Linked DNA regions of Schizosaccharomyces pombe. The protein of the gene in region 2 interacts with the protein of the main gene of each other region in a pairwise test. Each region holds a gene or a part of one and is shown on either strand. Other genes may lie near its edges.

Region 1 (3,928 bases), on a different chromosome or scaffold from region 2:
AGTATTCTAGTAATTCCCATCAAAGGGACTAATCAGGCTAGTTAATAGCTATTTGTATTGTTTTCTATGTACTTCTTTGGTGACAACAAGGAAAAGTGGAAAAGTATAAGATACTTGGAAAAATTTAATCAAAATCTCAAAACTCATAATTTCAGTGAAAAGAATATAGTCGGATGTATATATCCTTCCAAAATATCGCATTTGTAAGCTTTGGAACGAGATTTAAAAGAAACAACGTAGATTGCTAAAGGGGAATATGTGAAGATCATATGTAAGCTATAAAAGTAATTTGCACAACAAAAGGCAATCTCCAAACAATCCGAGATATTTGGGTGAAGTAAAGTTTCACTGAAGAAGGTGGTAAGAAATCGTCATTACCATATTCAATTGTAGTCCAGACACCGATATGTGAAAGAAATTGGTAAGAAAAAGGAAAATGTTTGCTTTGTAACAAAACATCACTATAAATTTCTTTATAGTACTGAATACCGAGAATTTTGAATAACCAAGTAGATTTGAAATTTACGATTTTAAAAAATAAGGCTGGCATAAATAATGACTACTTCCAGCTTTTTGCAACGTCAAAAGCCCAAACAAATTCATGATGGACCACTTTATCATCATCAACAAACTTTCCATTGGCTTCATAATGTCCGCGAGCCAGCATACCTGTAGGTGCCTCATCTGGTTCAGAGGTAAAATCATAAGGTGTTTCAGAAGGTCCATAGGAGCCAATCATGGTAGATGTTTTGTCAACAACAAAGCCACGTCTGCGAACAGTTTGGACATATCTTAAGCCTGAAATTACTTCGTGTTGTACACGAAATTTAACACCAATCTTAAACTCGCTTCCTTCCTTAATAGTGAACCCTTTCTTGCGGATTTGTTCGACACTTGCTGCATCTTCCATGTTAACATCAACTGGGTCACGGCCGTCAACAAGTAAACTCAGCTTTAAAATAACAACTGTTCTACGATCATTCGAGGGTGAATAACCTGTTCCCGTGATACCCAGAGATGCTTTCCATTTCTGCAATGATTCATCTTCGGCATCCATCTTCATATATTCATTAAGTGATTTCTTTTCTCCCAGAGAAACCGGAGGTCCATGCTCAAATGTATCATCCTCTAGTTCAGGGTTATGTTGATCAGCGGATACTTCATTGTTAACACTCATTTTAAAACAACGCAATAGAATTTAATTATCTGCCAGTAGCTAAACCAAGGACAATTTGTTTTTATAAAAAAAGTTCAGATTCGTTGTTTTGTTAATGTACTGTTCTAGAGTTGAAATTGGCAAAGGGAACATAGCATATTGCTATCTCAACAATATAACCAGATGTACTACTATGTTAACATTTCGGTGACTTGGATTATTTTAAATATAACGGAGATGCAGAAAAGCGTGAGAAAAGTATAAGATTTTTTTTTTCTTTCTATTCCCTTCGATTTTTTTTTTAGTGTCATTATCCATGCTTTTATACATGTAAATATGTTGGAGTAATCCCAAGCATTGACGTCTTATGAGACGTAAAAAAGAAGGAACTTTCTATGCTAGCTTTTCTGTAGGCAGATGTTCTTTACATGAAATTGTTTGAGCAGCAAGTTATAGCTGTAGTCGATAACTATTATACAACCAGATTTGATACGTTTAGCGGAAAAATTATCAATCACTTCAGGAATTATTATTAAAAAACTTACGAAGGAAGTCCACTGAAAATAAAAATCATGTGAAAGATACGCTTAACTATACCAAACCCTAATTAATTACAAAAACGGCGGTTGGTGTTAAAGTGAAAATTAGTAAGCCAATCTGTGTGCTATTATTTTTAATACCAAGACATTCCTGGCACGGAGTTCTGCTCCCATTGTAATTTTCCTCGTAGACCACACTCTTGAAAGACAATTACTAGATTACCTTGATTAAGGTACTGTTTGTTTAATATCAACTTCTTTTTTGTTTTTAAAGATCATTTTGAAAGGGGTTTAATAGATTAGCATTTCGTTATACGATAAGGTTTTAGTCAACTACCCGATTTCTACTACCAGGAACCAGTTTCCTTGAGCTTTTACCATTTGCTAGTATAGGGTGTTTTATATATTATTCTATTTATGTTGAATTGAACCATAAGTGTCTCCTTCGCATAAATACACTAGCCTTTTTTATTCCTGTTTTATTTTAGAACACTATCCATTTGAGAGGAAAATTTGGGCAAGGTAATGGCAATGTCGTCTATCACCTCTGCTAAACAATTAAATGCCGAAGAGCTTTTAGATGAATGCGATTCTTTTAATGGGGAATTTGTTCCTGGAACAATTCCCTTCCGTGCAAATGGCGCTGCCATTGGATATGTTACCCCTTTGGTACTAGAAATCCTCATAAAGGCGGATAATTTCAAATTCAATTGGGTTTATGTTCCAGGAGAGTATATTGAAATAAACGCATCTACTTTTGAAAAAAGAACTGACATCTTAGCTAAGGTACTGGAGCATTGGCGCCATAACAATACATTTGGAATTGCTGATCAATGGAGGAATGAATTATATACTGTTTATGGAAAATCTAAAAAGCCTGTATTGGCCGTTGAACGGGGCGGATTTTGGTTATTCGGTTTTTTGAGCACTGGTGTGCATTGTACCATGTATATTCCAGCAACTAAAGAACATCCTCTTCGTATTTGGGTACCACGAAGATCACCGACTAAACAAACGTGGCCCAATTATTTAGATAATAGCGTTGCCGGCGGAATTGCTCATGGTGATTCAGTCATAGGCACTATGATAAAGGAATTTTCTGAAGAAGCTAATTTGGACGTTTCTTCTATGAATCTTATTCCTTGTGGCACTGTCTCCTACATCAAAATGGAGAAAAGGCATTGGATTCAGCCCGAGTTACAATATGTATTCGATTTACCTGTTGATGATCTTGTTATCCCAAGAATTAATGATGGAGAAGTCGCTGGTTTCAGTTTATTACCATTGAATCAAGTACTTCATGAACTTGAATTAAAAAGTTTTAAGCCAAATTGTGCTCTGGTTCTTTTAGACTTTTTAATCCGTCATGGTATCATTACTCCACAGCATCCTCAGTATCTCCAAACTTTAGAACGGATACATAGACCGTTGCCTGTTCCTGTTGGAAAATATGAAAGAGGGGATTCTTTTGAAGATACTTCAAAGAAAGCTGAAACGTGTGTTCCTGCAAAACCCCAAAAAGCCACTCATCAGCTAGCTCCATGTAAGGCTTGGTTACGTGACTATGATACTGATCAAAAGTTTGCGGTATTACTATTAAATCAACCCATAGATATACCGGATGATAGATTTCGTACTTTATGGAAAAGAGCTAGTATCCGAGTCTGCGCAGACGGTGGTGCTAACCAATTGAGAAATTACGATTCTTCGCTCAAACCGGATTATGTCGTTGGTGACTTTGATTCGTTAACAGATGAAACTAAAGCTTATTATAAAGAAATGGGAGTCAACATTGTATTCGACCCATGCCAAAACACCACTGACTTTATGAAATGCCATAAAATAATTAAAGAACATGGGATTGATACTATTTTTGTATTATGTGGCATGGGTGGAAGAGTTGATCATGCCATTGGTAATTTAAACCATCTATTCTGGGCCGCCTCGATTTCTGAAAAGAATGAAGTATTTCTATTAACTGAATTGAATGTATCAACTTTGCTTCAACCCGGAATAAATCATGTTGATTGTCACGACAACATTGGTTTACATTGCGGTCTTCTGCCAGTAGGACAGAGTGTGTATGTTAAAAAAACCAGCGGCCTTGAGTGGAATATTGAGGATCGCATTTGTCAATTTGGAGGACTCGTCAGCTCTTGCAATGTAGTGACAAAAGCAACGGTGACTATAGAGGTCAACAATTTTATAGTATGGACAATGGAAACACGTCTAT
Region 2 (3,928 bases):
ATAAGAAAAGTGCTTCAGATATTTTTTTCTCCTCAAGGCAAGCTTTCACGGCCGATAAAACATCACCGGTAAGAAGCGCCTCAGTGATGTTTTTCTCTAAGTCAGAATCTTCTGGATTGAAGATCTTAAATGAATCTTTTACAATCTCAGCATCCTTCTTGTCAGCTATAGATACTTCTTGCACACTTTCGGCTAATTTCCCATAAAAAGAGGAATCATCATCATAATTCTCATTATTAGCATTCTTTGAAAGTTCATTAGGTGTTGTTGAATCCTTGGCAACAGACTCGTCTACCTTGCTGTCATCCTCATCGTTTTTTGGTTTTAATGTCTTATAACCCAAAAGTTCAGCAAACTTAGACCTAGAAGCGCGCTTACTGACGGCCATAAGTAGCTTCCAATTTATGGCCTCCTCTTCGGAGGCGGATTCTTCCACACCTTTCTGACAAAAATCAGTAATTTCCTTTTCAGTTTGAAATTTGGCGGAAGAATGGAAGGACTTAGCTTCATCTTGCTCAACTTCATCGGGAGCAGAGGTTATAGTGACCTCTTTAGAATTTGGCGAAAAACTAACGATCTTGTTGGGGAAGCCAAATCGAGCACCAACAGGTACTTTAAACCACTTGGGAGCAAGAGGTAGTGAAAACGAAGGTTCTTGTGATCCAGCAATGGAGGGCAAATTGTTAAAAAATTCGTTATCATCTATGGAGGTAGCACCTTTAATAGAGGCTTCTTGACTCTTGTCGGTGTTTGTGCTTTGAATTGAAAAGATAGATACCTTACCCTCCAAAGAAGCGACAGCAACACGATTGGAATTAGAAGGACACCAAGAGCTTTTTGTATACCAATTACCAGAACGAGGAAAACTGCCCAAAGATTCGCCAGTTTCAACATTCCAAACCATAGCACGCCCATCCTTTCCACTACTTAGCAAAAACGTTGGATCTTCAGGGCACCACGAAAGAGAGAGTGCAGCCTTTTGGTGTCCGGTAAGGATGTTTTGAGGAACAGTAGGTTGGCGTAAATCCCACGTTAGGATGATGGGGTTTCTATTATCATCAATAGCAGTTGCAAGGCGAGTGGCATTATTAGGGTGCCAAGCAATACTGTTAACCGCTCCGGTAGCTGCGCTAACACCGGCGGCACCCAAATATGATAGATTCAAGACTTGGCGTTTAAGCTTAACGTCCCAAACGGTAGTGTATTCAGTAGCGTTACCAGAAGCTAAGATATGTGAAACTTTGTTATTCCAAGAAACCACATGAACTTCGGAGGAGCGATTTTGTTTTGGGAGAGCGAAAGGCTGTTGTGGATGCTTGATATCCCAAACCCAAACATCACCTTTATTATCACCAGAGGCTAAAAGATTGGGTTGTAATCTATTGAAATCAAGAGGGCCGAGAATCGAGCCGTTTTCGGATTTATAGGTAGCAATTGAAGCGGACGCTTCATCTGATTTCAAAATAGCAGCAGGATCCCAAAATCCAATACCGCCATCTTCTAAACTACCAGCGATTACACCCATGGGCTTATCTAACGATTTCTCCCATGCTAAATCGTAAAATCTAGTCTTCACGTCGATAGATCCAACGGGTTTTTGTGATTCAGGATTTTCATTCCACAATTCAAGCAAGGTGTCGCTGTTTTTAGAACCCTCCGTCCCGGTATATCCTCCTAACGCTAACAGAGCTTGGTTATCATTCACCCCGCGGGGCGACCACGCCAACGTAGCCGTTTTGCTTATATCCTTCAGTCTCATAACTCACACCAACTTGTGAAATATTGTAAAAACTCCTTTTTATCCTGTTTCAACTATAGTATAACAGGCGAGCTAACCCGTTTTTTGTTTGGTATGATGTGTGGGCTCTTAAAGTGGTTGGTTCTTAGTAGTTTCTTTTAATACATATAGTCCACATGTGGTAGTAGTAGGCTAAAGGGTAGCATAGGTAACAAAGGATAATACACATAGTGCAGTACATAAAGCTTTCTTTGGAACTCAGTGGTAAATTCTCACTAAAAGTAAAAAAAAAATAGATGGACAATATTATTATTATTACGAAAATGAAGGAAACCCTTGATTGATGCTTATATACAAGAATTCATAGATACCCTGTTTTGGTGGAAATTTACATAGTCAGTCAAATTTTTAAATAGGATGACCCAAGAAGGTAAACACTTTAAGTGCGCAGTATAAAGGAACAAAAACTCGGAAGACCAGCGTATTCCCAGCATGGTCCGTACACAAAAAAAACCAGTAAGGAAAAAATTAAAAGAATACTTTTTTGTAGGTTGAATTGAATATAAGAAGTAAATTTTGAATAAGATTTCGAATTTGCACCAATACCCTTGGAAACGTAGGAGAAATGAATTAGAAAGAACGGAGCTTGGGTGGAGAAAAGGAATCCAAAGTACCAAAGCAAAATTGTCGTCCTGTAAAAGAAGTATTAAGACATGGGCATGAGACAAAACGAAGCCAAAATAAGCAGAATGATACGACTTGAAAGTTGTTACATTTTCTCATAAATTAGAGAACAAAATAAAGCGGAATACCGCATTGTGTCAGTCAGCAACAAGCACAAGGGACGTATTATTGTTTAATTTTTCCTTTTTCTTATTTCATTTGAATGTTCTTCAGGAAGGAAACGCTGACACGGGTTTCATCGAAAGCCTATTTGGAAGCATTTGTTTCGGGTGAAAATTGTTGTTGCTGCATTTGTTCTAACTGTTGTTGCTGAACCTCTTCTGGATGGAAGAGAAGATTAAAGATGCTTGTTTTTTGTTCAGCCTCTCGAGCCTTTTCTTCTTCAAGCATTTTAGGTCCATTTTCGTCAATATACTTTTTAAATTCAGCATAAGCAGCCTTTTGTCGCTCACGCTGTATATCAATGATTAATTTGGGTGGCTCTTCAGATACACTCCGTCCTCCAAACAAAAAGGAACTGCCTTTCTTCTTCTTCTCATTCCAATCTTCAATTAACTTGGTGCGTAGTTTTTCCTCTCTGCGGGCATACTCAAGGGGAATGTTTTTACCTTGATAACTTTTAAGAACTGGACGAACGTCTTTAATATCCATGATAGCAATAAACTCCAAAAGAGGAATTAATCCGACCAATTCCTTATCCTTAGGATTTCCTGTCCATGGAGCCATGGCAATTGCGTTATCAGGCTGTTTGGACCATGACTCGGGATTCGTATCGATCATGATCACTCGAGACAGGTCACGATTCAAGTAAGATAAATCTTTGATAACCTTACCCTTCTCATATTTGCTTGACTCGCGAGTAAGTACGGCACTAATACTTACGTGGTATGGATCAATCTTATCGATGATAGGCTTGGCAGTTGCTAAATACTGTCTAGTAAAGATGACTACTTCGTAGTACATGGAGAGATAGCCCAAGAAGTAATCTAAACCAGGACGCTTTGCAGTTCTCCAACCATGTTGACGAGTCCATTCGCTATGAATCAAAAGATCATCCAAACTTAAGACCAAGGTATAAGGTCGATTATAAGGTTCAGGAAGAGGATCAGGGAGCAACTTTTCAAATGCAGGCTCCTGATAGTAAGAGAAGAAGTTATTTGTACGGGCCTTTACCCTATTCCACCAATCTGAAGGGGAATAACCAGCAGCGGGATACTGCTTTTCTAGTTCTTTCTCATCAGGACCATAGCGACGACCGTAGTAAAGTAAACCACCTCCCGTTAATCCCAAGAAACCCCAAAATGCATAACGAGCCTGCTTTTCTCGCTTTAGCATCGTTGAACTAGTATACTCGGGTCCTTTTCCAGGGTCTCCAGTGTAGGACTCATCATTCAAACCATTTAAATCAAGTAATTTTAATGACTCTTTCGCAAGTGAAGAAGTGTCCCGTTTAACTTCTTCTTTTGCGTTTTCGGTGATTTTTGATGTGTCCTTTTCCTCTTGCGA

Evidence for each region.
Region 1: the proteins of sec31 (region 2) and tnr3 interact in a two-hybrid assay, tested with the Schizosaccharomyces pombe proteins (one large-scale study listed by BioGRID).

The regions. Positions count from the first base shown.
Region 1 is NC_003424.3:1,317,095-1,321,022, reverse strand, and holds the start of tnr3 (thiamine diphosphokinase Tnr3/ Nudix hydrolase fusion protein), read left to right. Parts: upstream 1-2,044; 5' UTR 2,045-2,220; coding exon 2,221-3,928. Other genes in the region: Rho GDP dissociation inhibitor Rdi1, read right to left, coding at 560-1,177.
Region 2 is NC_003423.3:1,397,750-1,401,677, forward strand, and holds the start of sec31 (COPII-coated vesicle-associated protein Sec31), read right to left. Parts: upstream 1,889-3,928; 5' UTR 1,760-1,888; coding exon 1-1,759. Other genes in the region: TIM23 translocase complex subunit Tim50, read right to left, coding at 2,669-3,928. UniProt on the Schizosaccharomyces pombe protein: Component of the coat protein complex II (COPII) which promotes the formation of transport vesicles from the endoplasmic reticulum (ER).